Solanum lycopersicum: one gene and its partners. The protein of the gene in region 3 binds, or shares a complex with, the protein of the main gene of each other region. Links are inferred from orthologs where the notes say so. Each region holds a gene or a part of one and is shown on either strand. Other genes may lie near its edges.

What was found.
Region 1: large ribosomal subunit protein uL3c (region 3) and large ribosomal subunit protein cL38 share a complex: the UniProt entries of both Arabidopsis thaliana proteins name them as parts of the 50S ribosomal subunit. The link is inferred for Solanum lycopersicum from reciprocal best matches to the Arabidopsis thaliana genes AT2G43030 and PSRP6.
Region 2: large ribosomal subunit protein uL3c (region 3) and large ribosomal subunit protein bL28c share a complex: the UniProt entries of both Arabidopsis thaliana proteins name them as parts of the 50S ribosomal subunit. The link is inferred for Solanum lycopersicum from reciprocal best matches to the Arabidopsis thaliana genes AT2G43030 and PRPL28.
Region 4: large ribosomal subunit protein uL3c (region 3) and large ribosomal subunit protein bL34c share a complex: the UniProt entries of both Arabidopsis thaliana proteins name them as parts of the 50S ribosomal subunit. The link is inferred for Solanum lycopersicum from reciprocal best matches to the Arabidopsis thaliana genes AT2G43030 and AT1G29070.

Annotation. Positions count from the first base shown.
Region 1 is NC_090803.1:63,900,915-63,907,267, reverse strand, and holds large ribosomal subunit protein cL38, read left to right. Parts: upstream 1-2,822; coding exon 2,823-3,158; downstream 3,159-6,353. Other genes in the region: inositol-tetrakisphosphate 1-kinase 3, read right to left, coding at 3,920-3,993, 4,132-4,216, 4,333-4,388, 5,867-6,043, 6,149-6,256.
Region 2 is NC_090808.1:67,406,770-67,415,125, reverse strand, and holds large ribosomal subunit protein bL28c, read left to right. Parts: upstream 1-2,861; 5' UTR 2,862-3,010; coding exon 3,011-3,227; intron 3,228-5,652; coding exon 5,653-5,885; 3' UTR 5,886-6,056; downstream 6,057-8,356. Other genes in the region: uncharacterized protein, read left to right, coding at 926-1,005, 1,101-2,010; uncharacterized protein, read right to left, coding at 7,104-7,194, 7,702-7,892.
Region 3 is NC_090805.1:36,927,939-36,937,288, reverse strand, and holds large ribosomal subunit protein uL3c, read right to left. Parts: upstream 5,697-9,350; 5' UTR 5,489-5,696; coding exon 4,936-5,488; intron 3,687-4,935; coding exon 3,397-3,686; 3' UTR 3,317-3,396; downstream 1-3,316. Other genes in the region: uncharacterized protein, read left to right, coding at 1-151, 240-391, 1,232-2,065. UniProt on the Arabidopsis thaliana protein: One of the primary rRNA binding proteins, it binds directly near the 3'-end of the 23S rRNA, where it nucleates assembly of the 50S subunit.
Region 4 is NC_090800.1:53,254,853-53,262,219, forward strand, and holds large ribosomal subunit protein bL34c, read left to right. Parts: upstream 1-2,929; 5' UTR 2,930-3,056; coding exon 3,057-3,270; intron 3,271-3,795; coding exon 3,796-4,052; 3' UTR 4,053-4,172; downstream 4,173-7,367. UniProt on the Arabidopsis thaliana protein: This protein binds directly to 23S ribosomal RNA.

The sequences.
Region 1 (6,353 bases), on a different chromosome or scaffold from region 3:
TAATATATCAAAAATAATTTATTTATTTTTTGAGATGAGAGTAATGCATTGGCAAAATCACCCTTATAAATTTTATATATATAGATTTTTCAGTTTTTTGTTTATAGGATTATATTAAATATATTATTATTTATATTAATATGATATTTGGAATTATATGGAATTTGTGTTATTGTTATGATTTATGAGTATCTTTTGAAATGTGGCATGCCATTTTTTAAATTAAAATAACGTCCGCATGAAGCAATATTATAGTTGTATGTATAGTTATCATTTTGAACTTTTTTAGAAGACTTAAATTTAAAAAAATAATATTAAGTTTGGCGGATTTGATTAATTTAAAGGAGAAAAGTCAGCAAAAAGGATTAGTGGTATCCAATTAAGTATGTTAGTAGCTAATCATGTTTGAGGGGTCAAATATAAGAGGAAATAATTGTTTATAAAATCGTCAAGAAAATATTGTAATTGATCACCAGTTTAGCTAGCTGTTGCTGCTGCTGTCAATAAATATTTAATGATGTTAATATAAAAGATTTGTGATTTTTTTTTATGTTACTCTATAGTTGTTAATTGCTATTTTTGTCGTTTGTTGTGTTATTGTTAATACTTGATTACGTATTGTTTAATCAAGAAATAATATAATCGTAGGCTGTAATCTTGCCATTGTTAAATCATTCTAACTTCCTAATTCATCGATTTCAATTCTTTTTAAATATCCAATTCCAAATTTAAAAAATGATGAAATTCATTCCTTAAATATAGAAATAGAATAAATTTGCTCTTCGTTTGAATCTACTCTTTTAGATCAATAATTTGAAAGGTTGGTGTTTGACTAAAATTTTAAAAGAAAATAAGTGATCCTAAGGAGATAGTCTTTTAGAAAAACACTTTATAAAAATAATACACGAAATACTTTTAAAAATTTGACCAAGTAAAATTATACTTGAAATACTTTTAAAAAATTTATTAATCAAACATAAATTACTTCTCTTCGAAAATATTTTTTAAATACTTTTCAAAATAAATTTAATTTAGAAGTTAGTCAAAACATGTTACTAATATGCTTTTATTGTTAGTTAACTGGTTAAAATTTGCCAAAGTTGAGTAAATCTTGAGATACCCACATTAATAACCAATAAGGGCAGTAAATTTAATAGGAAGACAGAGTAAACTTAAGCATAACATTCAAAGCTATGGCCTACCGTTCAATTCATTTTTAATAACATTTTATGATAAAATATTTTCATATAGTTTTTAAATATCTAAATTTAAAATATCAAATAAATATAATCTAATTTAACTTTGAAAATTAATTAAATTATCTTCTGAAAAACATAATTAGCTTGAAATTGATAAGATCATAGATTTAAATTCCGATCGACATAAAACCACTATTCTATTTTCTTTCATCTTTGACTATCAGGGTACATGATACTGGATCGGACACCAGAGTTATAAAAATATGCAATTTAACTCTTTTTCCAATAAAACAAAGCACTAATTGCCAAAATGCTAGAGGTAACCAACTCATTTTTACTCGGCTATAGGATGTTTTGGGCTGATTAGTGCAGATGAAGTTGGTCAATCCATTAATCTTGATGATTCATATAAGTGGGGGAACAATAAAGGTCACGGACTACAAATGGGATAGACTGGCCTATAATATTACTCACAAGGCTAACAGTAGATGCAAAGAGACGTATATGTTTGTTCTTTTATGTGTAAGAATCATACTCAGGTGTATTTTGTATGACCTACTTATTTTCAAGTATCTTTTTCACGGTGTTTGATTGTCATGTAATAATTGATTGAGTCGCCTTCAACATCAAGTGATTGAGTTCACGTTTGATGGATAAAAAACACTATTAATCCTTCTGGAGTGGGGTGATTTTACACATATATATTATAGCAAGGAAAGAGTAATAGGTACACGTGAACTCAAGTTGTGCCTAAATAAGCAACTAATAACAAAAAAGTGTTATTATGGTAATGAAAAAATAAAAGTATCCATTCAAGTGAAGTTTACTTCAATATCATCGAAAAAGGAAGGAAAATGAAACGATTTGACACCAATTGAAGGAACAATTTAACCTTTTAGAAGTAAAGTCATTTCCTCTAAACATGTAACCTACTAATAGTCAACATTCACTTCTCATAGTTATGTCCAAAATACAACTACTATGCTCCATATATTATACAATAACTTTTATATTAAATCATATAATATCAGAGAAAGATTAAAATAATTATGACTAGTTGAAAACATTACCAAACATACAGACACAAGTTGAGGAATTGTGTCCCATGATCTTATAAGATTATTACTCATTTGAACTCAATTAGGCCGTGTACTTTTGACTCTAAATTATATTCACTTATGTACTAAAATTTCATAAACTATTCTTTAATCACAATGACCTTTGGGTCTCTAACTAAGAATTTCTCCGTCTCTGCCCTTTATACACACCGTCCATCGCTCCTATCGATTGTGAAGTTACGTTTAGTTTTCAGACTTAATATATGAACATAAATGGTAAGTTATTATTATACAAAAATATAAACTATACATAAATTAAAGACCAACACTAAATAGAAGCAAAAGTGTAAATGATCCCACAGATTTATTTGGGCCAGACCAATTGTTGTTCTACTACATCCAACACTCAAATAACCCAAAAGGGCTTTAAGGCCCAAATGCCAAACGGTGTCGTAACCTTAGCAGAAACTGAAGTCACCAGAAGATAACGAAGGCAATCCACTTCAAAGGTTCCATTAAACACAGCCAGAAGAAGGAAAAACCTTTGAAGAGAAGAAAAAAGAAAATGTCAGCCTCCGCCATATTCGGGTTGCAGATGGCGGTGTTGCCGCGTTCCTCAACTGTTTCAGCGACCGGATTCACCGGCGGAGCCACCAGGTTGGCGTCGGCACCCACAAGTATCGGGGGATTGGTAATTGAGTGCTCATCTAGGCCACAGAAGAAGGCTACAGCTCACCATAAGAAGACACGTCCACGGAAGACTCAAGCTTGGGATATTCGACGTGGACCAGCTGTTTATGCTCCGTTACCTCCCTTACCATCGGAGTGGTCCTTTGCCAGTGATGAATCGGGTCAACCCGCTGCCGCCGGAGCTTCAGAGTCCGACGCCAAATCTGAGTAATTTTTCTGTAACTTATCATTTCGGCTTTTGTATAATGGTGTTTTCCGTCTGATACTTTGGGGAAATTTGCAACTTGTTCAATTGCAGTTTTGGCGCAATAAGTGATTTGAAATGAATGTTTTACGCTTTACTTTTTAATCTATTCAATGCCACTGGATAATGCCGTAGCTTGTGAGATAATAAACAATATCCTTCGAATATCGGTTCCGTATAATAAAATAGCAAAATTATATATTATGTAAAGCAAATATCAAATGTGATCGGGGAGAGGGGTCTCGTACTAAAAACAATGAATGAGAAAACAGTAGCTATGTTTGTATTTGCATTAAGGCAATATACTCGCTCATTCAACATCGGAATCCTTTGAACTATGTCGCAACAACCATTCCGATCAAAACCAAACTATCCAGTAGATTAGACGAGCCAACAATGTACATTTTATGTTCCTACTGTAAATGGCATATTTACAAAGTATGAAACCCAATTATTTGCCCTCCAGACAACATTTACCAAGGCCTCAAAGCTTTTCTTGAATCTATCAATTATTCAAAGACGGGAAACAAAAAAGACCCCAAGCTCACTTAATTGGAATCGTGTACCAAAAGGGGCAAAAGCTTCCAAAGTAGCAACCGTTATCGAGAGAGCTCTTCTGCACTTTCCACCACTGTCTCCGATCAGCTTACAGAAATTGCGCAGGAGATTCCTTCCCAGCAGTTCCGTTTGAAGTAATAGTTAACGAGGAGCAGATTTTCACAAATTTCTCATTGTTTCTGCTTCACAAGGCTCAGGAGAAAATCAGTGAATATGTGCTCATACTCTGGCATTTTCCCATAACCTGCACCATATGGTATAAAAAAAAAAGTATTGCAATCATAAATTTAAGGGAAAAATATTTTCTTCAAGAAAGTGGTGCACAACAATCAAACTACTTCAATCACAGATGTTGAGTGATTCTACAAGAAGGATTTCTTACCAGGAAAGTAATTAATATCTATGACATAATATCGGTCTTTGGTTCCAAGCTCTCTAATTATATCCAAGTTGAAGAGATGGAGACCCTACACAAACATTGCAATAATATTTTAGGAAATTACCTTACATCAGAAGTTGTAAAGCAAGTACGAAACATCATTTACGGCATAATTTATGGAAAGAGAAACAGAAAGCAATATACCAGTCTACGTCGAAGTTCCTTAGCAAGCTTTTCAAGTAATGGCCGCGGAGGAAGCTCTGCAAAGGATAAGATGTTAAAGAAAATCATGACCAACCATCCAAGATTTACTTCAGGTCTCTACACGTAGATAATACATAATTAAATGCAACAGTACAGCATATGTCATCCCGAGTATAATAGTATTCACTTAGGTAAGATGGATGTCACTGGTCTGATCCAGCAACATGAAACTAAATACAGTATGTAATAAATCCCACACACATAAGAGTTCCAAGGCAATACCATTTTGCCACATACTAAGAAGCTTTAAACATTTCCAAACACTTTGTGTCTCCTTAGTTTCTAAATTTCAAACTTCAAGATTGAGTGTCCTGTCCGCGAACAACTTCAAATGGCATCATACACCAAAGAACCATCACGACTGATGGCCCTTTCCAAACCAATCATTTCTTGTAATCCTCTCATAAAACATCATTTAAGTATGATCCATTTAAAGCACTTCTGGAAACGAATGGAGGAAGGTTATTAAACAGAAAATGATCTTTCTGTTCCACATAATCAAAGACCTATTCTGCATTGCAAGGTTTTAGGGGTAAAACATTTGAAAGCATCATCTTATTTGAGTTTCTTAGTAAGCAAGTTTTCAAAATAGTAGTATGAAATGTGAAAATTTAAAGTAGCACCTTGAAAATGTCATCACATCAAGTTTAAAACATAGTTGCAAAAGTTTGAATTATTGAAATGAAAAGAAAGCACGATCATTTAGAATGAATATAATAGCAAAAATGTTCTAGTATTGGGGCAGAGACAGCAAAAATTGTAAAGCTTATTGTTGGCGGTAAAAGATCAACGTTAAAGGAACCCATTCCAGACTCCTGTGATACCATGATTCAAAAGAATTAGAAGCTCATGGTCCTAGAGAAATGTCAACAAGACAAAAACTCAAAACAACTCTAAGACAAGTCATATAAGATAAACATACTTGTTAAGAAAATCTCATATCCACTAATAACAGCGACCCATTCTTCCTAGCTCTTGCTGATCTATAGTATTAGCTTCTGAAAAGCTTTAAAATCATTGACTGGTTCATAGAAACAATTTTTTTAAAAGATAAAAATAAAAATTTTGGACCAAAGGCCCGTTTCTTTCTCATGAAATATTAATACACATCCAGGCTAGTCATTACCCGTTTTAAATAAATGCCAGATAGCCCAAAAAGGAAATAAAAGGGCAGCTTGGTTTGGGAAAGACCAATATTGCCATTTAAACCAAGTTGTCCTTTTATTTCCTTTTTTGGGCCATCTGGCATTTGTTTAAAACGGTCTAATAACTAGACTGGATATTTATTGATAATTTCATCAGAAAAACGGACCTTTGGTCCATTTTTTTATTTTTTATTGAAGCTCTTATTTTTCATCTGCTTTATTCTTCTAGTGTATGCCATAAATTTGTGCATTCACATATCTAAAGCAAACATGATGTATTTGATGAATCGAGAAAGAGGAAGTAGTCACTGAGGGAAAAGATGGCTCACCCCCGACACAAGGGTCTAAATCTGCTTCATCTGCAGATGCAGCAGCACAAGAAACTCTTGGGAATCTAAAAACCCCAGGGTTTGTTGACAGCTCACGCTTGCTAATATCAGGTAAACTGAATCGTCTAACAACCTTAACTGCTTCCCCAACAATGTATACTTTAAACAGAATTCCTCCTACAACCACAAGACAAAAAATACATAATCATCAACACGACGACTTATAAACATTTGCACATGGAATGGAAGGCACAAGTTCAATATCTCAAATAATATACGTACCGTGGTTGATAAATTCCTGTAGCACAAGTGGGGGTTCTAGCATCTGAAGAGAGAATTTGTCATAGGCTAGAGACAACTCATGGGACTTGGCAGCCAAAGGCTTTGCAACTGAGAAGATAAAAGAAGCTCAATTCAGGGATTTCATGAACAGATTACATTGTTCACATACTGCTCAAGTTTGAAAGAGATCACTTTCAAATTATTC
Region 2 (8,356 bases), on a different chromosome or scaffold from region 3:
AAACTTGGGCTAGGTTAAAACCAAACCCACCAAGAAATGCAATTTAATACTTAGGGAGTACACTTGCAGCAAGCCAACACTGAAGAATACCCAGTACGTGCAAACTCTTGAAGAATTTCACTGGGTATAGAGAAAAATAATGCTTGGTGGGACGCCTAATTTGCAGAAGAAGAAGACTATGGGATCACGACCACTTTTTCTTTCTCAATTTTGTTTCTTTTTTCGTCACTAGTATATGTGTATGCTTGGCTTCACTGTTAGTTTTAGACATGAAAACTACCTTTGAACTGAACTTGTTAACTTTTTGATACTTTAAGGGGTCGTTTGGTAGCGTGTATTAGGAAAAATAATGCATGCATTAGCCCTGTGTATTACTAGTACCTTGTTTGATACTCTTTTTCAACCTACGTATAACTAATGCTTGCATTAGTTACACTCTGTGTATTAAGGTGTGTATTGCTAATGCCATGTATTTCTAGGTATTAGCAATGCAATGGTTTTAATGCATGCATTAGCATGATTAAAGACCCAATTGTCCCTCAAAACCTTTTTACATCTTTTTTGCTATAATAGTGGAGGGTATCTTTGTAACTTAATTTTTTTTTTATGCAATGCATGCTATCTTTTTATGCATCAAATCAAACAATGCATAAAAATAATCTATGTATAACTAATGCAAGCATAACTAATACATGTATTGCTAATGCAAGCATTACTAATACACTCTATTTAGCATTATTTTTATACACTCTACCAATGTTACTTGCTAACAGTGATATATTAAGGATGTAGTTGACCTTTGAGGTATATTTTGGAGGTGTTCTTTGTTAAAAACTCTGTTATTGGGGTTATGTTTCTTAGATGTTGCAAAAAACTTACCAAGGGGTTACTAAAGTCTTTCCTCTAATCACCGTGTCCTGTCCAGGTGGATGCAAATGTACTCAGTTTTTTGTCTGAAGCAGAACTTGAAGAATTACTGGAAGACATCAGATTGGAGTGTGCCAGGTCATTTATGAAAAGTCGCATTTCTTAATGTCATTCTTTTTTTTTTCTCCTTGTCAATTATTTACTGATCTGGAAGGTTTTCTTTTGATCTGTAGGTTTGGCGCTATTAAATCAATTAATGTTGTAAAGCAAAGTCAATGTTCTCTCATATCTGATCCTGCTGCTATGGATACTAGTTCTACCTTGAACGATAGCAATATGGACTTTGGGGAAGAGTGTGACAAAAATGATCCGATCACTAGGAGTGATGATCACGAGTTGGAAGTTGGTGGGCCACACTTCCCCAGCAGTGATCATCATGAGTTGGAAGTTGGTGGGTCACACATCCCCAACAGTGATGATCATGAGTTGGAAGTTGGTAGGCCACACTTCCCCAACAGTGATGAACCCATGGAAACCAATAGTGATAAGGAAGCTGAAAGATGTGCTGATAGTAAAACACACATATCAGAATCTTCACAAGATGATTCTCAAAAGGCTGGGGATGACGATGCTTTGGCTGGTGGCAGTCATTCGGATGATAGACCTTCTGAGGAGCTAATAAAAGACGACAGCTCTGACCCTCTACCAGATGACAGTAGTGTCTCTGCTCAAGAGACAATCTTCCAAGAAAATCTCGAGGTTACCCGTACTGGTATGGTTTCAGAAAGGAAAGATGAAAATGCTAATCCCAGTCCACTGGAGCATCTTGAGATAAACAATGACTCACCAGTTAAGGAAGCAATTAAGTCAGAGGAAGACAATGGAAATGTAGACGATAGACCTTCTGAACCAGAATTCTCATCGAAAGAAGAGTTGGATGCTCCAGAGGAACTTGAGAAAAAGGAAGAAATCCCTATTACTGAAGTGTTTGATCCGGGCTGTGTACTTGTGGAGTTTAGAAGAGCAGAAGCTGCATGCACGGCTGCTCATTGTCTACATGGACGACTGTTTGACGACCGAATAGTGACTGTGGAGTATGTTCCCCTTGATCTCTATCAGACAAAGTTTGCTAAACAAAACTAATTTCTTTTGGCCCATTCAAAACCTTATGCAGATCTCCCCAAACTTGAACGACGTTAACATAGGATTTCACAATGCTTAACTGAATGTTTGTTTGCAATTTTTACCATTATTGAGATGCCTTGGTGTTAACCCTTTTGTTAGTGCGAGAGTCGTACCCGATTTGAAGCGGAATACATGTTTTCTCCCAGATGTAGAATGGGATGAAGGAATGAGCCATTGTATTATGTCATCTAAAAATTATGAACTTTGTTTTTAAGTTGCAACAGTTTACCTACTACTTACAATATACAGGAGCACAATCTTATGGCTTCTTGAAATCTTTTATTTACCTTCTTATTATTTTGCCTTAATGTCTTGTGCTTGTAGTTCTAAATGATGTTGGTCACTGACTCAGTTGGACAGTTGATGGGATAACAGATTTTAGGGGTTGTTTGGTTAGAGAGATAAGGACATTCATAACATAGTGTGATTGATTTGAAGATAGTAGAGACGTTCAATATTATAATGATTTGATTTTGGTCTATTTGTTTGGTTTATCATAAGTGGAACCTGAAGAGGGAGAAAACGCTTAATATTATAATGATTTGATTTTGGTATAGGCTTAATAATGATTTGATTTTGGTATAGGCTTAATACTCTCTTTGTTTGGTTTGTGATATTAGACTTCCACGTGAGTAAGTAATGGAAATAAGATTAAAGCATAAACTAAGATAACACAAGTAATGCAAATAAAATTAAAGCATAACTATGATAACATATTACTTCCAAATAAGTTAGATTTTGTTATTTATTTATTCTTTTATTTAAATCGTTTGATATTATTAGACTAAAGGAAAAAATAAGTTAAATATATAATAACAATAAAAAAAAATATGAAGGCCAACAAATAAAATCATTACCCACATCCATTTCGTTATCCACTCTTCACTTCCTTCTTCAAAAAAAAAAGCAACATTCTTGAGACAAAAAAGATTCTTGCTTTGAGGAATTGGTTGCAAAAATGGCGACAATCACAGCGGGTATAAGCCTCAGAGGACCAGTAGTGGGTGGTTACAGGACATTTGCAGTGACCAAAAGGGCTTTACCCAAGGTGAAATTCAGCTCAGAGTTGAGTTTTGTGACTTCTCAATTGAGTGGCATCAAGATTTCAAGCACCCATTTGAGCTCTCCTGCTTCACTTTCTGTTCCTTTCAAGACAGCCCTTCAACCTGTTGCTCGTAATTTCTCTACCCTTTTGTTGTGTTCTCTGTGTTTTTAGTTGTTGGGGTTGTTTCTTTTTTGGTCTAGTAATATGCACATGAACTGTTTGTTGTTTTGTTTGTTTCAGTGAATTGTTGGGTTTTAACAATATTGTGAATTGTGTGTAAGAAATTGTGCTTGTGGGGAGGCAGTAGGTAACCTTAGAATTAGTCGAGGTGTGCGCATACTGGCCATACACCACAATTGTCAAAAGGAAATTGTATCTGATAATTTGAAGTTTAGTTAAGTACTTGTTACTTAGGGTAATGGTTGTTGAAGTATGTGCAAACTGACCCCGACATTACCATTATTTAAAATAAAAAAAGAGTCTTGGTGCAATTGCAAGGTTGCTCCTTTGCTGACCTGAAGGTTACGAGTTCGAGGGGCGGAAATATTAACTTTGTAGACCTATTGATGGTAGAGGTGACATTTCAGCTTTCTGAATTTCAATTAATTGGATCACATGCAAAGGGATACTGTATGGTATACACCTTCGGTCCCTCTACCCATGAAGTAGGGATAGTAAGTTCTTCTTGAACATTGATGGGGAAAAAGGAAAGATGATAACTTTCAAATGTTAATACGATGAATCATCATTTTGGTGCAGGTAGCCTTTTTATTTGTGTGTGTGTGGAGTGGCCGTACTCAAAGGGTCACAGGACCGAAATCATCATGAGTGTTACTCAGATAATTGCTCATTCCATACCTGAGACCCCATTTAGTAGTCGGGTGTCTAGAATTCAGATATGTGCTTTGTGTTGATAGCACATTACGTTAGATTGTTTAGTACCAAGTGAAAGTTAGTATTGCTGATATGGGATGAAAATTATCCCTTACAATGTGGAGGATCTGAAGACATAGCCAAAGTTGGAAAAAGTTTGATTCAGTTGCAATTTGCAAACTAAATATATTGTTTTCTTGAAATCTGTGGTATGGTAAGCTGAGCACTTGACATTAATCACATATTATTAAGTTACATATGATAATCAATGATTAAAAACCATATTATAGTTTACTATCTAAACAACTTCTTATATAACTTCAAGAGGAGAGATTAAAGGGGTGTCATCATTCCAGGGGTTTAAAAGTCTGTCTACAGTCGCAAGAAATAGGGATAGGACAACCTCACCATGTGCAAAATTAACAAACTGGGAAGAGCTTGATGGACTACAGCATATTGATTAAAGGGAGCTGCCGCGTTAACTGCATTAATAACAACAAGATCAATAAAATACGGTATATAGTTTGGAAGTTTGTCCATAGTTGTCTTCATATACTGAATGATCCCTAATTTTTCCTCCTTGGCTCTTTGTTCTCTGACTTAAGGATTGCCGATATTTAAGGCATAACAGATTGTCCAAGTGAAGAATTATAAATTATTTCATGATAAATTTCTTATATAGATGGTATCAACAGTTTTTTGGTTAACAAAGTTTGCATTCCTTTGCTGCAATTCATAGACAAAGCTGCAAAAGAAATACTATATGCATGAGAAGATATTATAATTCTTGTCGAGGCCTTTTAGGTCTCATTAAAAACTGACTGCAGCCTAAAGGGAGCTTCATTTTCTTGCTTTCACCTCTCTTGATAATGAGCAGGATTTCCATCTGCCTATTCTTCTCTCCATGAAACTTGCAGCCTAATAGTGAAATAAAAGCTTTATGAGATTCAAAGCTTATGAAAGTAGATTTCTCGCTATCAAGAATATGTAAATCCATTTACCTCTCAAATTCACCTTCTGCATTTTTTAATATTTATTTACCCACCTGTGTCCTTATTACAAGTGACCAAACTAGTTAAAAAGAAGACGAAACCAATAATGAGAGGCTGAGAGAGTGTGTTAGCTGCAGATTTGGAAGGAAAAATCTACAGAACTTGAATCTTCGGTGTGTTCGCCCCTCTGGTGTACATTATATTTTGAATATGATGATAACAGCTTGGTTTAATTCGTTCTCATTGTATGACAACAAATTGTAAAGGGTTGACTTACCTTTTGTGAAATCCAGTAATGGCAGAGTATTTGGCTTTTAGATCACTGATGAAGCTTTAGTTTACTAATCAGAAAGCACATTATGAGAGTCATTAGGAGCACTATATCACTGACACTCTTGCTTGCTTTGACTCCCTTTCTAAGTTGCTGCATTTGTCAAACTGCATCCTGAATTCCTTTGTTTTTTTAGTCCAAAACTACTTAAAGCCTTTGAGCTAATAGGTAAAATAAAACAAATTAGGGACAAGAGTAATCAAATATTCCCAGTGAAGCATCCTTTGCCTTACATCATCATGATCTTTCCTTTCCCCCCCTGCTTTCCTGCATTTTTGTCGGTTGTGCTCGAATATCTTGGCGCCTCTTTATGATAAGTAGCGTATAGAATATTAAGAGAATACATTCTGTTTTTTCAGGTAGAGTATGCCCCTTCACTGGCAAGAAGTCCAACAGGGCAAACAAGGTCTCTCATTCAAACCACAAAACGAAAAAGTTGCAATTCGTAAACCTTCAATACAAGAGAATTTGGTGGGAGGAAGGCAAACGATTCGTGAAACTGAGGTTGTCAACAAAGGCCATAAAGACCATTGAGAAAAATGGACTTGATGCTGTAGCCAAGAAAGCTGGGATTGATCTCAGCAAGAAGTAGAACCTGGAACCTGATAGCATATTTGTTTGGACACTAATTTTGATGCCCTCAAAAACCATAACTTTATTTTTTGGCATTGCTTGTTGATTTGTAGTTATATGTTTTCATGATATTACTCTCCAAGCATATCTTGATCACCTACTTTCAATGAATATCAACATCATTCTCTCATATCTCAAGAAAAGAACAGTTTAGCCTGGAAATGCAGGCTGTTCACTAATAAACCCTGTGATAGTGACACTGCTTCTGAAGTTCAGATAATTCCCACTTAGTCGCGGACTAGGGGTGAAAAACGAAAGGTGTTTTTTGGTCCCTCTATGAGCTTCTTAAGAGTGGTTATGCACAACCAAAAAAAGGGAATCAAAGGTCCATATTTGTGTGTGCGCGATACTCGTTTAACCTTTACATTCAAGAGACAAATGCATAGAGGATACATGTAATTCAAGAGGTAAAGTTCATCTAAACATTCACCCATAACAAGAACGAAACAAACTAATATCACCACCTTTGACACATTACAATACATTAAACAAGTCAAAACATAGTCTGAACAAAGTACAGAATGTTCAGAAAGTGTTTATGCTAAAAAGCTCATTTATAGCTATCCAACAAAGTGGATAACAAACACGTTCCATTTGATTTTTTGGTTGCCACTTCTCTTCATCAGTCAACTACAGCTCTCCAAAAGATACCTGAAATCAGCATGTATTGCTTAAATTCAGTAAGGAGTTCAATATACTTTCTGCATAAACAAAAAAAACTGATCAAAGCAACAATCATAAAAGTTTTTGTGTGGTCGTAGTAAGAGTCTAATAGACTAAAGATACATAGTAACTCGCCAACAAAGATTGATTTCAGGAAGGTAAAAACTTACTCGCACCCAATATAAGCACTGAATCAAGTTAATCCAAGGCCAGGAAGTGCAGTAGTCTGAAATTGAGATAAAACTTTGTTTTGCTTTTCTTTCCTTCTTTATAGTTCTTGCTATGCTATAGATTCTGATGTGTATATCGACGCTTTATCAAAAGATCCTCATTTTCTTATATTTTTATTTGACATTATGTACAGAGGATGGCAATTTAACCATGGTTAAATAATAAAAGTAGCTTTAATTGCTGAAGCAGTCAATTTTTTCTCCTAAAAATGGCCAACAAACATGTTCAATGTTCAGAAAGATTATTTCGAAGTCAAAACCAGAATTTAAAGGAAGTATCACCTTCATTTATGTATCCTCCCTTGCAAATCAAAATCATCAGCTGTGTAGTAGTCCGATATGAGACGATACATATATGACGGGTTATGCCCTCCACTGTAAATCAGAAAGATGCAAGAAGTATTATTATCATAAAACTGCTTATTAACTCATAAAGTGGCAAAATAATACATTACGAATTCCCATTGCACGCCCTCTTAAACACAACAACCACTAAACCTCAATCCCAAGCAACGTGGGGTCGGCTACATGAATCCTCATGGTCCATGTTGCTCCCTTCAGCCTATCTAAGTCCAAATACACCAAACTTTTGCATGTAAAACCTTGACTCGATTTTTTTAGTAGTTTATTTTATGCACTATAAACTATGGTGGAGTTAAAACGCAGTAGTCTTTTTCTTTGAAAAGTAAACTGAACTTCATCATACTGAATGGTGCATACTAAACATAACAAAATAAAAGATTCCCGTATATTAGTAGAGGATACAATGTAGAACTGTATTATCCACGCTGCTTTGTTATGTGCAAGCCAAAATTAGCTCGGGATTGAGACATCGTTGTTGCAAAGACGAATAAAAAGTTGAAAATGGTAAAGAATCCTCACATGTCGGTGATGAGAAGGCTGACAAGCTCGGGTGCCACATAATCAAAACCAGGGTTGACAACTTGAAGAGGAGCCCCACTATCCATTCCAAATTCCATGCAGTTTGAAAATAGCCCGAATTCGAGAAGTTCAGCAGGGGATCGCATGTCATTCAGACAAACCTCTGGATTGTGTGGATAAGAAGGGCACAACTGTAGCAGAAAGAAAATAGTTAAACGGACTAACTAATGATAACTGCAAGAAAAAGTAGAAAAAGAGTTTGCTGCTGAAGTGGCAAGTGTAAAAAGGATAACTTTATGGTCAACTCAAAATGGATTCAAGGATCTGCAAAGCCTTACATCAACATTATACACCATTTTTAAAGGTTCTGAACATCATAGTAAACCTGAAAAGCTGAGTTCTTCTCATGTTATCAGAGCCTTCTAAATTGAGAATGATAATCAGCAAGATGTATAAAAATCGCCAATAGTAAGAGCTGAGAGAATAGCCACTTAAACGGTTTGGACTGTACAAGTTGATAGTTCTCATGACCTCTCTCTCTCCACCCCCCCACCCCCACCTCCGCCCACCCACCTTAATAATACCTTTTTGATAGTTAGTCCCTCCATTGCAGACTCAGGAGTTGCATGGATGGTAAGCCCCTCTCACCTCCAAC
Region 3 (9,350 bases):
AGTGGAGAGGAAAAAGTCGGTGGATCTAATTCTTACAATCTAAGAAAGGGACCTATGCTTTATAAGTTCCGTTCTGCTGATATATCCTCCACATATCGCTCTCGTGGTGAAACTTATTCTGAATGGTTGGTTGATTGGAATGAGTTTCCAGGTTTATACCTTACATCTCTTTTTTGTTTTTCTGCAATCGCTTGTTTTTCTATTTTGTTGAGAAAAGTTGATTGTTTTGTTATGTGCAGCTTCTATTTTGAGGGCTGATATGAAGTATGGAAAGAAACATTTTTCAGTTGATGAAAACAGGCGTGACACATACCAACTATTCCATCAGTCAGCTTCTTGTAGTGAGCCATCTTTGTTGTGGAATGCTGATGACCTAAAGCGGTTAATGGCAGTATGTACTTTAAGCCTATGTTATTTTTTTTAATAACGAGAAATTCAACAGCCGGGCACAGGGTTTGAAAATCGGTGGATGATGGGCCCACCCTCTACCCTTCTCCACTTAAATACCAGGCTTTTTGTCTGTGTTAAGGTTCAAACCTGTGAGACACTCGACCTAAACATCCTATGTTGTGCTCTTACCACTAGACGAAATACCCTTGTGGCTTATGTTGCCTTTCTTTCTCGTTCTTTCTCACCTTTTTTTTTTTCTCCCTTCTCTCAACGACTGCACGGTGTTGTGGATGTTCTCACTGTTTTTTTTAATAGTTGTGCAATGCCTTTCAGGAAATACTATGCTGCTGCTGTCGAGTTTTAAAAATTATTATTTTGCATTTCCGGTACACATTATCTTCTAAGACTACCTATCAAAAAATGATAAAAACACAACCTTCTAAGATTTGACTTCAATGAAAATGGAGAAAAACAGGCCTTTCCACCTGTATGTTGCTTGTAGGTATATCTACTGTACTGCAAGATAAAGTTCGTGTTTTTAGTGCACTATATTAGATAGGCAAACATTAATTTGCTTCACTAATGATTCTGCTGTGAAGTATTAAAAGTCTCATGCTGGACCTTCTAAACACTTTTTAGGGCTGATCCCTCCCATCAATGCAATCAAAGAGTGGGAAAAATTGCAGTAATCAGTCTGGTCACTGGTGTATTGTCACTCTTTGCACATTACCTTGTCTCGCCATCCCTGAAAGAAAATAAGATGCCTTTTTTTTCTTGTGATTGTGTGTGATTATCTTTGATGCTGTCTTACGCAACCAAGACTAATCTGACTATAATGCAGGTTGGTGTTCACATTGAGCAGCATGCATACGCTAGAAGCCTTGCCAGATTTGCTGCAGATCTTGGGCCAGTTGTCTGGAAAGTAGCTTCTAAGAAGTTAGAAACTGTTTTACCTGCTGAAGTAAAGTTTGGTCCTGGATGGGTAGGAGAAGGTGGAGGATCAACATTATCGTCAACTTTTTCATCTCAGAACAAATCATCAGATTGCTTGGCAGCTGATCACCATTCTTCTAGAACCGTTATACCATCTATCCGGGGTGTAGGTTCTGCTGTCATATGCAGGCCTACTGATGGAAATGTTGAAGCTGGTAAGACATTGAACAGCCAAAATGACGATGTAGCAGAGGCTAGTGGTGATTTTTCGTGTGCAATTCCTCCATCTAACTCCCAGGCTAAGCAGAAACCTTCTGCAAACCCAAGAAATGGGTTCAATGGTATGATAGGGTATGATTTGTCTGCGCAAATGGAGGTAAAAAGGCTGTCCATGTCTAAGGGCGAACCGAACGTACAAGAGGCCGCCTCAAGGCCTGGTGGTCAAATGGTTGGAACTATTCCTAAAAGAGATGTTTCATCCTCTCATCAGTCACCTTCAAATCGTGTCTCCTCTCTGGAGAACAGTTTACGAGAAAGCTGGACTACATTGCATTCTGGGAATTTAGAGCAGAATTTGAGGCTTTCTGGAGATTCTCAACCTGCTTCTGTATCTGCAGGGCAGTATAGGGTATCTCTTCCGCATCCGCCAGACCTGAATGTCAAAGTCCAAACTTCAAGCTCCCCTAGTTCTAGTTTACGAGTTGGATCTCCGCAGCAGCCAGATTTAGCATTGCAGCTCTAACTTATTCATCGGCCCTTTCTGCATTTGAATCAGGTGAAGTAGATTATTCTTGTTAACCTAAATCATGGTAGGGGAACTAGGAAAATGGATGTACAGATTATGTATCCAATTTTTAGATTGAAACTAGGGAATTGGTATGTAACAACATTTTGAGAATTTGAACCCATGATTCAAACAGATAATTGGGTGTGGAATATAGGCAGTTGATACTGCAAGTAGGACCTCCCAAATATTTTGGCAAAAAACCAATAGGTAGCTAATCAGGGAAAATATGCTTTTTGGCTTCTTTTCAAAAAGTTGATTTTGGTCTATATATTACGACCCTACAATGCATAGCAACAAAATCGAATAAAGTATGTACTAACTCTTTAGTATCGTCAAGTTTGTTTGTATGGTGTACAATGTGGTTTATCATCGGTAGCAATTTCAAATTAATTTATAACTATAACAATTAAGAATAACAGACAAAATGCTATTAACGATTAATTCATACAAAAAAAAAAATAGTCTATAGTGATTGCTCTGTTTTGCCAAATCACAAAATAACTATTAATGGGCATCGGTCACTCGCGACATATTTGATTATCAATTAAAATATTAATGTGTTCATCGAATTGGGAGGCAAGTCTTATTATACGAGATAACATTCTTTATAACATTTTCAATACATAAATATATAAAATGGTGTGCATTGTAGTACAACATTGGTCTTAGTAATATAATTCACCATAAGAATGATTGAATATGTTTAACAATTGTCAATATGGATAAAAATGGTGTAGATTTGTTGAGTTGGTGTTATTATCAATTCTTATGTAAAAATAAATTGGTGTTCAATGTGGTGTAATGTTGCTGTTACCTTTCTCTTTTGTAATTATAATGACTTGCACTATAGTATAGTCATCTATAAAATAAATATTTTTGCGCCAAAATCATACAATTCCCTAATAATAAAACACCAATTAAACTACAATCGTTTTAAATGCCAAACTTTAGACGAGATGGTGAACTTTAAAGTTTATAGTACATGAAAAAAACACTATTTTACAAATTGATATGTTGTGAATTTTCATCAATAATTTGTCTCATACGATAAATGGTTTTGAACAGATTGATATTTTGATTCGTGAATAGAATATGTGTTTTTATGGTTATGAGAGGGAGGACACAAAACTAGATATTTTCATAGACTTCTGATAATGTAAAGTTTTTTAGCTAAGAAATCTGACAAATAAAACTTGAAGGTAGAGATTGGTTGAAACACAATATCATAATTTGAAAGAAAAAATTTCATCACTTCATAGAGTTGATAAAAGAAGAGGGAACAAAAATTAGTTCTTGGGGATGTTTTTGCCAACTATCTTGGCCGGAGCTATTCGCAAAAGATTTCCAGGCTTACCAGGAAGAGCTCCTTTGATCATTAGAATCTTAAGTTCATCATCAATCTTGACGATCTTGAGCTTTCTAATCTTTGTCCTGGTGCCTCCCATTCGTCCAGGCATCTTCTTGCCCTTGTATACACGCCCTGGGGTTGTCCCAGCACCAATTGATCCTAGTTGTCTATGACTCTTTGATCCGTGAGTCATTTGACCCCTCTTGAAATTATGCCTCTTGATACCACCTGCAAGCCAATTCCACCAGTGTCAACAATGAGAGAGCGAAAAACAAGATATGATAGATAGAACTTGCTTTCTGTAAAGACAATCAAATTTGAGATAAAAAATTACTTCTCTAGTAAGTGAATGATATATCTAGAGTCAAGACCGCCACCAATAGAGAACCAAAGAACTACCTGTACCTTGACTTAATAGTTACAATATGTCGATACATGCACCTGTATGGAAGTCTCGTCTGTATGATACTTCAAACAACTATTCAGGTTATGATAAACTTTTAAGACGTGAAAAGTTGATAAACCCTACTTCCACATTTAAACATCTGAAAATGTACACTGTGGAATCAACCAGCATAATTAAACACTATGATAGCAAGTCATGTTAACCAGAATATCAAGATATCCATTAATGAAGCTTATTTAGGTGCTGAAGCCATGCCACACGAAGAGAGGAGCTACCACGATGTTCAATTACAATGTCATTTTCAGTTGGAATTGCAGTATTTACAAACAAAAGTTGCGGTTATTGAGGAAAATCAATAGAAGCATTAATACAAACCATTTGGCCAAAAAGTTAATGTAGCTCATGTAACAGGCATTTCAAGTACTCTTACAAATAAGTAAAATATCATATTTACATCTATAGTGATACATTGTATCATAATTATACAAACAAATACATTCTGGTTTAAGGATAAATGAATTGCAATAGCATAACAAAGTGCAGTAATGCAAAACCAAAGACTTGATATTTCAGATGTATCACGCTACTAAAATCACAGGCCAGTTCTCTTTTAAACAACAACCGCGCTCCATCCCAAGCTAGCTATATGAATTTAGAATATCCATTTGAACTAGATTCATTAACAATACGAGTTCTCTATTTCACAGTTCACATATGAAAGACAATATATTCATAGCTCACTGATGATAAGAAAAAACTAATCACAACACATAAAATCAAGGTCAATTGTACACTTCATTCATGAAATTGGGATGAAATCTTCGGACCTGTTTGGATTGGCGTTTGGCATGGGATTTTTATAAAAACCAAAAGCCTTGTTATACCATTTCTAACCTATGGCTTTAGCTTATTTTTGACTTAAAAATAAGTGTTTATAAGCACTTTATAACTTTACCCAAATACTTAAAAACAATCGAAAATGAGCTCAAATCTTTGATAAACAAGGCTAAATTTAGATAACGACCCGAAAAAAGCAATCTTTAGGATAATTGGAGTGGTAGAGAAACAGACCTTGAAATCCTTTTCCAATGGTTGTACCAGCGACATCAACCAAATCACCTTCTTTAAATAATTCATTAAAATCAAGTTTCTGCGTTACTTCAAATCCATCAACAGACTGAAGACGAAACTCCTGCAAATGACGGAGAGGAATAATCCCAGATTTTTCAAGATGACCCATTTCAGGTTTAGTTAGTTTTCTATCACGAACTCGTCGATACCCAACTTGTACAGCACTATATCCATCAGTAGCTTCAGTTTTAATTTGAGTAATAATATTTCCTTCGCGAAACCCTACAACAGTAACAGGCACCACTGTTCCTGAATCTTCAAAGAAACTCATCATTCCAAGTTTGGTTGCCATTATTCCGACTCCAGCTTCAAGAGAGGCAGAGATAGCTGGAGATGTTGAAATGCGGAGAATTGAAAGGGGTTTATGTTTTGGGAGTCTGAAAGAGGGGAGAAATGGAGAGTGCAGAGTTAAGGGTGTGACTGTGGTGGAAGTGGGTAGGGTTTGTAGGCGGAGCTTGGCGGTGGGCATTGTAGAGAAAGAAGAGAGAGACATGGCTTACTGGTTCGCTGAGACAGAGAAAGAGGAAGGGGAAACGCCCTGTTATAGGATTTCCTTATCCGGTACAAGATGGGGAAAGAGGGAGATGGTTGCACAAAACTATAAGACCCCAAATATAAATTAAGGAGCGGTATCTCACGTAATTTTAATCGAATTTAATTTCAACTCATTTAAGTTTTAATCTATTTTTTAAAAAATATTTAATTTAATCATCAATTTCAATTTTTTTATATAACTTTTTATTTGCATTGACGTTTCTATACCGAAAGTATAAATTATTATTTATTTTATATTTTTTTAAAGATTTATCTATTAATTTGTAACTGTTTCTTTTTTTAAAAAAAATAATAATTTTGAGTTGAAATTTAAATTACAATTATAAAAATTAAATATTACTAAGTTGAAATTATTGAGATTAAGCAGGTCAAATTGAACAGGACCATGACCCATTCCAAATTTGAGTCCAATTCATTTGAACTCAAAGTAAACTTGGTTTGGTTAAAACTCAACCCAAATTTTATTTCAATTTATTTTATTATTTTCAGTTTCAACCTAACTCGCTCATTTGATACCTCCTAAGAGTGACAAATACTTCTACATCATTTATTAGAGGTCGAGTTCGAGTCTTCTGGATATAAATTTATCTTTATTAGGGAGCAAAATCCTTAATCAGAGGTCAAATTTGAATCTTTTAGATACGAAAATTGTCTTATTTAGATAGCAAGAATAAGATCATATAATTTTTTATGCGAAAATTATTAAACTAGTCAGAATTCCTAACATAATTATTATAAGATCTATACTTAAGAATAATTAATAAATGTAAATATGTCAATATTTTATTAACTATAAGGTATCATAATATAATTTAGTTACCTTTTTTTTTTCAAATTGAACCCACTTTTTTTTATCCTGTTACTGATGAAAAGAAAAAAAGAGATCTTATTATCGACTTTTTTCTCTCAAATTTTTTATCCATATTTTATCATGCCTCTCTCACACATTTGGAACAGGGGCGGATCTACTTAAGCTCGTGGGGTGCCACGCCATCCACGAGCTTCGGCCAAAACGCGATGTATGTATAGGTGTATATATGTACATTGTATCCCCCTTCTAGACCCCGGATTGAATCCGGATAACAACTTTTTTTTTTAAAAAAAAAAAGGAATTTAGCTTCAATAATTCATATTTTGAAGATTATATTTCTTTTTCTTTTAAATTCTAGTTGACTTAGTTTTAATTAATAATTATTGTTGACTAATTTAATTTATTAATCTTTAATTTTTTTATAATTTGTTATTTGTTTGATTGAGAAGCATTAAAAATAGCTTTAAACTATGTCACGTCAAATAAAAATATACTCTGTTAATAATTTTATTAAAATGTCCATACGATTAAACATTTATTCTAAAAATGTCTCCACTACTAATATTTTAAACCTAAAAATGTCTATGTTGTTATTTTATTATGTCAAAATACACCTTTTCTAATGAACATAATTTTTTTTATTTTCTAATAAAATTATTGTTTTTAAAGAATTCCTTTCTTGTTTTTTTTTTCTTTTGAAAACCTTTTAACTAAAAAAAATGGAAATAATAATATTTTTCTTAATCTCATTTTGTAATTTAAATAGAACAATGTCATGTACTTTGTAAATAATATCACAGTAACTTCTTCTTTAATTTTTATTTAGATATAATAAAATCCTTTTTCCTAATAAAATAAACAAATATTTCTATTTCTTAATCTTTTTAAAATTGATTAAGTAAATATTTTCCTGTAGAAATTGTAATTGTGAAAATATCACTTTATTTCATGAAGTAGATGAAAAATGAAATATAAAATAAGAGTGGTGATTAATATTAAGTGATTTATTTAGTTTGTTACAAGGGATATGTTTACAAATATAAGTAATTTAAAATATGTAAACTCGTCGAGAATTATTATAAATGAATAATATATATTTATAATATTAGTAAAATTATTTTTAAAAATAAGTTACGCTTAATAAATTTTGTGTGGAATCAAAACCTAAGGTTGATTTAATGGTCTAAGTAATGTGTCTACTTGACATTCACGAAGTTCAAATCCTGAATCGGCCTCTGATTTGGATTATGATTATACAATATCACTCAACTTATATATGTATAATTAATGCAAACATAATTGATACAAACATCACAAATACACTATATATTTTTTGCATACTACCAAACGATCCAATATTTAACATTTTTATTATATATTCTATCAAACGACCACAAAATAAGATATTATTAATACACAAAGTTAATGAGTTTATATCATAAGAGGTCATTGAACTATGAGAAATGATCTAACAAAGTCATTTAACTTTGTTTTATATATAAAAAAAAATCACTCAACTTAAGATATTTATCTACAAAAATCATCCAAGTACATTTATCATTAAAATAAATTTAATATACCAACATAAATTATTTTTATGCTATATAAATTACACGAATCATATAAATATTTTTTAAAATAAGTAAATCACTTTATCCTTGAGTAATCTGGTTCTTTGTTTCCAATCACAAATGAAAAATATATATCAATTTTGGGTATGAAATCCAAATTCATTAGAGCTCCAGACATATCACAATCACATTACAACTAGCTAGCAAGATAAATCTAATGGAACTCTATAAATCACATTAGGAAATTGGAAAGAGAAATTGCACATTATTACTTGTATTTTGTTTTTGTGTATATATTATTATTACTCGTTTACTTATATCAACATATATGAATATGGAGATTGGAGTATTAAAATCTTTTACGAGCAGTGGCTCATAGTGTAGAAACTGAAAATTGAAGCAACGTGGGTATAAATCGAATTTATATGGGGGCGATATGGTTTTAAAATATAAAAGTTCAATTTGTGAGATTCATATTTATATGACATATAAGATAATTTATTTGTCATATCGAAATCATAATAAATTAAAAAGGAAATCTTTTAAATTTTAGTTTATTGTGAAGTCCATATTTACGTGACATATAAAATAATTTTGGGGAAACTAAATAAATATCCTATAAAAATAAAATAGTTACAGACATATACCCTTTTATATTCATATCCTATTAAATAAATACACTATATATCCTAAATTAATTTCGCTTAACTGATACAAAATTAGTATCATACTTGTATTGATATCATAAGGTTGTTAACTTCGCTTAGATCATATATTGTATTAGTATTATTAAGGATTTTTTATTCTTTTTAAAAAAATTATCTAATTTCAACTAGTTTAATAAAATTATTTACTATTGTGACAATAAATTTGATAAGAAAATTGTTTGTCAACTTTTCACAAAATTTTTTTACTCAAATAGCATAACTATTTAATATAGTTTTAAAAAAGAAAAAAGAAGAAGAATTAATGATGTTTTAGCAACAAATATTGTTGTAAAAGAAATGTAAAGATAAATAAAGTGTGAAAGATATTTTTGTAAACATATATTTTTAAATAAACATTAACAAGATTTGTTATTTCTAATATATCAAACCAAAATGTGTACAAAATATACTGCTAGCATAACTTATGCAATCATTATTAATGAAAGCACTACTAATACAAACATTATTAATGCACCTTATTTTGTATTATTCTTGTACAATCTATCAAACAATCCTCTAAACACAGTTATTATATTCTTAGTGTGAGAAGATGAATCTTCTATGTATAAAATTCGATATGTTTATATAAGGAAATAATAAATTCAATATGAAAAAGATTTACATTTGACCAGAAATAGTTCAAATAATCAATACTTTAATTTTTTTAAGGAAAAAATAAATTTAAATAAAGTAAAAAAATCAAGACAATAC
Region 4 (7,367 bases), on a different chromosome or scaffold from region 3:
TACTGGATGTTGATGATTTAAGGGGAAAGATTTTGGAAGGGGCTCATAGTTCCCGATATTTTATTCATCCGGGTGCCACCAAAATGTATCGTGACCTTAGAGAGATATATTGGTGGGATGTCTTGAAAAGGGACATAGCGGGGTTTGTAGCTAAGTGTCCAAATTTCCAACAAGTAAAAGCCGAGCATCTAAAGCCGAGTGGTTTGACTCAAACAATCGGATTTACTACTTGGAAGTTGAAAGAAATTGATAAGGACTTTGTTTTTGGTTGCCTCGAACCCTGAGGCAAAATGACTCAATTTGGATAATAGTGGATAGATTGACGAAATCTGCTCACTTTATCCCCGTCAAGTCTACTTATTTAGCGGAGGATTATGCAAGAATAACATTGATGAGATAGTGAGCTTACATGGGATCCCTTTTTCCATCATATCAGATAGATATGCACAATTCACTTCTCGTTTTTGAAGGTCTTTTCAAAAAGGGTTGGGTACTCAAGTGAAGCTTAGCACAGCTTTTCATCCCCAAGCAGATGGTCAGTGGAGCGTACTATTCAAACCCTAGAAGACATGCTAAGAGCTTTTGTGATAGATATTAAAGGTAACTAGGACAATCACCTACTATTGATTGAGTTCTCCTATAAGAATAGCTACCATTCAAGCATTTCCATGACACCTTTTGAAGCACTCTATGGTAGGCAATGTAGGTTTACGGTTTGGTGGTTTGAGGTTTGTGAGTCTTCACTCCTTGGTCCCAAAATTAAATATGAAGCTTTGGAGAAGGTTCGGGTGATAAGGGATATGTTTAAAACAGCTTATAGTCGGCAAAAATCCTATGTCGACAATAGAAGAAGAGATCATGAATTCAAAGTAGGTGATATGGTGTATTTGAAGATTTAATCTATGAAAGGGGTGATGAGATTCGATAGAAAGGGAAAGTTAAGTCCCCGATATGTGGGTCCGTATTAGATTTTGCAATGGGTCAGAAAAGTTGCATATGAGTTGAAATTACCTAGTGAACTAGCTTCGGTTCATCCGGTATTTCACGTCTCCATGCTTAAGAAGTGCATTGGCGACCCCGTATCCATTCTCCCCATTGAAGGGTTAGGTGTGGATGAGAGTATCCTATGAAGAGGTTTCAGTGGAAATTCTAGATCATCAAGTCAAAAAGTTAAGGAACAAAGAGGTGGCCTCCATAAAAGTCCTATGGAGAAACCACCTTGTTGAGGAAGAAACATGGGAGTCCGAGGCCAATTTGAAGTCCCGTTATCCTCATCTTTTTCCTCAAAATTCTATCCAAAGTTGATTTTAGAAATAATTCTCTTAAAATAATAAATAAATTTGAATTTATCTTGTTTTGCTAAAATGTGCATATTTATGGTAAAGGTTCATGCTAAAATGATTTTTCATGTGAAAGTGCTCTTTTGCATAGCTTGTACTTAATTGTGTTTTGTGTATTGTTGCCCCCGTAAATTGGTATTGAGCATGATGTTTTGAAGAATAAGTGGCTTGATGATCATGTTGAGCTCATATTAATATTGAGAAGGTAGTTCCTCATGTTGTGATGTTGAGCTCTTATATGTGGTAAATTGTGATTTGAGTTGCTATAGATGACCAAGGAGCATCACGTTGGCTTTGAAGCAGCTGCATGGTACTGGCATTTTGTAGACGTGGTTCGGTTATTCCTATTTGTCAAATTCCATGTTTGTGTGTTGAATGGACTTGTGAATTACACCTTTAATTTTTAACTCATGTTGTTTATATGTTTCTGGTTGGGCTGCTAGTATTGAGTCTCCTAATTTCCCCTACAAAAGATTTTTACTGTCATTCGGGGACGAATGTTCCTAAAGGGGGATAATGTAACACTTCGAAAGTCCATGACCTAATCTAGAGATTCATATAATGAACCAACACTTCAAAAACTGTTTATTTACCTGAAATACTATATTTAAAGTATTTAGGAAGTGTTAGAGTCAAATGTCAAGAAATGACCATGACGTTCGATGATTGTGAAATATGCACTCGTGTGCCTTGGCATGTTGCATAGAGGTTTAAGAGTCGTAATTTAATGAAAGTTGGTAAAAAGGCGTTACATATATAGAAGAGAGTATTTAGGGTTGAAATGTACAGGTACGACTCCCCAAGGGCCACCCTAGGGGTCCTTGAGGAGGACCCTTCCATTTGGACCCAAAAGTTGTCAATTGACAGTGTACAACCACGAGCCAAGCGAGGAGTCGTCGTTTGATCGACGCTCCGTAGATGGCCTCATAGGTTGACACTTATTCAATTGGCCTGGATGCTCCAAAAATCAAGTCTCTGTCCCAAACAACGACCAGCAGCACGGGGCCGTTGATGGGACTACAAGGCATAGGTCGAGGAGTCGTCGACTGGGTTTGTTTTGCTGTCAAGTTTTTAAGTTGGGGATTTGATCAGTTAGTTAGTTAGTTAATTAATTAAGGGTTAGGGGGTGGTTAATTAAGTTAGTTGAAGGACTATATAATACCTAAGCCTCATTAAACTAACCTAACACCCCACAATTCCCAAACTCAAATCCTCTCCAACTTCTCTCTTCTTTCTCTCTCTATTGCAAGACCCCATTGAAGAACAATTCAAAGCTTGAGTAGGACTTAAATACTTCAAATTTTATCCATCAAACACTAAGTAATCCTAAGGTATGAAAGATCTACACTCTTGGGATCTCTTTCCCCAAAAGGCTCTTGAATTTGGGTCAAAATGATGAAATTGGATAATTTTAGTAAATTTGGAATTTTCATCCAATTGAGGGGCATAAATGATGAAAATTAGTAACGACAAGAGTAAAAATAATTTCCTTTTAAGGTAAAAGACATAGTAAATCAATAAATAAAATTGAAAAATATTTTTACCCTTTCCACTTTAAATAAAAGTGTTTTACTGTGTCAAACCCTCTCTAAATCCATCTTTAACCCGTTTATCTTTTCGGATTACCTAAAGAGTCCCTTGGATTGCAGATAAGGCATCAAAACCTCTTATAGATAGACAGAAGAGTAAGAGGGAGAGTTTTGAAAGAGAGAAAAAATGGCTTCTTTGTCAATGGGAAGTTGGGTATGTTCAGGAATAGGAAACCACAGACCATCCGCTTCGCTTTCTCTACGTACTGGTTCTTCAACAACGACTACTTCTGTTTCTTTGAAAATGGCTGCTAATGCCTCTACTCATTCTGGGTTGCTTCACTGCTCTTTTCTTCCTTCCTCTGCACTCTCTACATTATCTTCTTCAACATCCTTTTCTGGTAAGTTCCATAAATTCTCTATCTTCCTTTTCAATTTTGATGTGGAAATTGAAAATGTGAATTAGAGATTTCAGTTGTTATTTGAATTGGTAATGTGGGGTTGTTTATTGATTCCTGTTTTAGGCAGGTAGTATTTTCATTTGAATTGCTTCTTTTGAGAACTCCTTAATAGGCAATTATTCGCTTGTGTGTATCTTGAGTCCTGTTAAATTATATACACTCTTTGAAGGTACAAGGGGGAGACAAGAGTAGGTTGCAATTCTTCATTCTGATGTTTAGTATTCCATATAACACAAATTTGTAGTGTCTATTTGTGGTCTGACATTGCTGTGCTATTGAAAAAAAGTGAATCGTATTTCTGATTTTATAGTCAAAATCCATTGGTTAAAGCTAGATTATAAAACAATTGAACCAAAAAAGTTTCAACAAAGAGGAGACCTTTAAGGTCCAAAAGACATATGATCAATTTCATATTAAATTGGCATGATGAATAGTAGCGAGCTAATGGTTTAATATGTGGTGTAGGTTCATCATTTGGCATTGGCTTCAATTCCAACATTGGAGTGAGCACCACTAAAAGGCGTGGCCTGGTGGTGCAGGCAAAGAAGTATGCTCTTTGTCAGACTAAGAGGAATAGGTCGAGGAAGTCGTTGGCTCGAACACATGGTTTTCGCAAGCGTATGAGCACCACCAGTGGCAGAGCAACTATCCAGCGAAGACGTGCAAAAGGCCGATGGGATCTCTGCCCAAAGTCTTCACCTAGAACTGGAAAACGAGCTTAATGTTTATTGTTTTCTTGCAACTGATTTTTGTTGGTAATATGTTAACTATCTTTTTCAGAATTTTGGGCTGCTGTAATTTTCATCTGTTTTATTTAAAGAACTAATTTACTAGTTTCCATATTTTTGTATTGTCCACTCTTTCATTGATTGGTTTTTGCTTTCTCCTTCTGATCTTGTTCATGAGTCTGGTCAACAAATCGACCCTGAGAAATTTGTAGACTCAGCAGGTTTTCATTTGTCTGATTCATCATAGGGCTTTTTCAGAGGTCTAATGTTTTCTTTTGTTTTCCATTTGTCATTGGAGAAAGTATTATAAGAAAGTTGCTCCACCAAAGAGGGGAATATGAGACTGACATGTTGAGGTGTTTTATGGACATCGATCGAACAAGGCCCTTATGTAAGGGTGCTATATTGTTCTCACAAATCATTCTTCACATGTTGGGTGAGCTTGGATTGTAACTGCAGTTATTTGGAAATTTCAGAATTGCATTTGTGTTACTAAATTTTGCTTCGTAACTGAGGATTTTACTAGTATGCTGCAGGATCATCCGGCTGTTGGCATGTGTAAGTTGAAATACAATTTAGAAATGTGCCCCAACCGAACCAGAAACCGACCTGTCTATGGTTTTTTTCTATAAATTAGTAGCTCGGAAAAGACAATATATGTAATATTCTATTTCTCATCAATTTGGTAATGCCGGACGTAGGTATAAGAAGCATACTATCCTAATGCATGAGAAGTTTGTATGAGCGAAATATTCACTTTATTTAGTAGACTTTGGTGTTCAGATCAGATATCCAGCATTAGTGAATTTTTTTTCCCATATCAATCCTTTTTGTTCCATCAAAGGCAAATCACAATTCTTATCTTGTTTTCACTATATGAAACAAATAAAGCGTTATTTACACTTGGAAGTACTTCTATTTATAGGATTCAAACTCTGACATGACTCATGAGCTTTTAATTGCTCTAATATGCATTTCTCTAAATCAACTAAATGACTAAATCTGCAAATATCATAAGCTCACTTCTACATAGCCTTAGTATGAAAAATAAAGAAAAACGATAATGGGAGCAACATTTTTCTAACCCAATCTAATATTATATATTCGTTTTTGTTTACCACAAGTTAGAAAGTCAAAGGGTGTCTTTGATAGGAGTGAAAATGTTTCAAATGAATTTTTTCTAAAAATTGTGTTTTAACCTTTTAGGAAAATAAGTGATAACAATTTTGGGGGTGGAAGCGGAATCGTGAGAAGAGAGAGAGAAAATTACAGTGGAGAAAAGATGATGATCTTATTATGACGGGAAGCCTTCTATTTATACAACAATTTTACAAACTTAGCCAATAGAAAATGAACGACATGCTTTACACTTGGCCTTATATTATTTGGCCGATACAAAACGACAAAATACTTTAATAATAATGGCCTTTTACTTTATTTATCACTACTTTTTAGATATGGCCAAAATGCATTATTTCCTAGAAGTTTTAGGTCTAATCTAAATTCTTATTTTACTTTTTGAAAAAAAAACAAAATTAAAGAAGTAAATCTAGCTAGAGTATTTTATCAATTTTATTAAGAACTGATTATGGAGTATTATTTTTCCTATTATGACTTGTGGTTTGATGAGAAAACGTTAAAAAATAATATTTAACGTCCATTTGGATGTATTGTTAATAACATAGGTGATTCTTTTGTATTTTTAGCCTGAGAAAGAATGTAATGAAGAATTCCAAAATGTTGTTGTACAAAATGGCTAAATGGTTGTACCCCCATTAATGGTTCCACCTACATTTTGTGATGTGCAGTGAGGGAGGCAGAAGAAGCAAGAAGCAGCTCCAATGGCGTCGGGAGTGATGTTCATATTGATACCGGCAGGCTTAGGTGTTGTGAGTTGTCTCTTCATTCTATTCTACGTTTCCTTCACTTCCAATTTCTTTATCCACTCCCACCGAATCCATCTCACATTCAACTCTACCCTCAACAATTCATTTGTTGCAAATCCAACTATTCAGACACATACGCATGTGCAATTCAATGGTATGACCACCCCACTAAAATAATTTACTCTCGTTCTGGGTGTAACCTATTCTGCACTAATTTTCTACCTTTTAATTCAAAATATTTGGGGTTTGATATTATGCTTAAAGATTGTTTCCAACTTCTTCATTTGACTGGATAGATAGATGTATTATGAGCTATTTCAGTAGATTGTTGATGTATTGATTGATTTGCATCTTCAACTGCTTATAAGAAGCTAAGGAAATCAATTAGCAGAATATGAAATTACAGATAAATGGGGTTGACAGAAATGATTTCCAATAATAGAAGATGACAATGTTCTGTAACCATGCATACAAGGATATTCTCAGGACACATTGTTGGACTTAGACCCTTGATTGACATAACGTAAAAATCGAAAAGGAAAATAAAATAGAACTCCAAATGGTATGCAAGATTTCACTTCTCTCTTTGTTTTCCTTTTTCACCTCAAACTTTGAGTATGACTATACTAAGCTGAATCTTAAGTAATTACGTTATTTTTGGAACGTTAGGAAAATCTTGTGAAGCAGGAAAAATTGGGCCACTGTTTTAAGGTGCCTTCTGTCATCGGAACTGCCTGTCCTCTCATATTTTGTTCTTTTTCTGTATAATTTCAGATGAGTGCAATTATTTTCTGTAATAGATGGCACATAAAAACATAACCCCCTTGTGGGTCCTCTAAACTCACAATGTAGTTATTCATCAGCACAACTTAGGGCTCTCTTTAAGCAACTGTTAGAAACATTTAGCATCACAACTATATTCTCACTTAGATGTCTAAGGAATCCCAGTTTTGATTATTTAAGCCACCTAATATCACAATTATATTTGTTTATATGTGTATATGTAAATAAATAAAACCTTTGGCACCCAATGTCTGTTGTGAAATGTCTTCACAGGAATTCCCAGTTTGCTAGAGCCACTGTGTGGGTTAATATTTTTATACTTCCTCACACCTGAAGTGCAATCTTTTTCTCACTTTACCATGTTTAAATGTTATACAGAAACCTTTCTATCTGGGAGACATGTCTTACAAACTACTATCGCCTTGAGGGTTGCATTAGTTTTTTTTGAGTTTTCTCTGGGACTGTGCAAAGGAGACCTTTTAAGAACTTACCCGCTATTGTAGTGACTTACAGAAAAGGATAAGTAAACAAGATGACAATGTAACATTTTCTTGTTGTGTTCTGTCTTATTATGTTGATTAAGCACGGCCTGTAGATAGGTATTCCAGTCTATTTTTGTTCAGTTATCCACTGGTTGGCC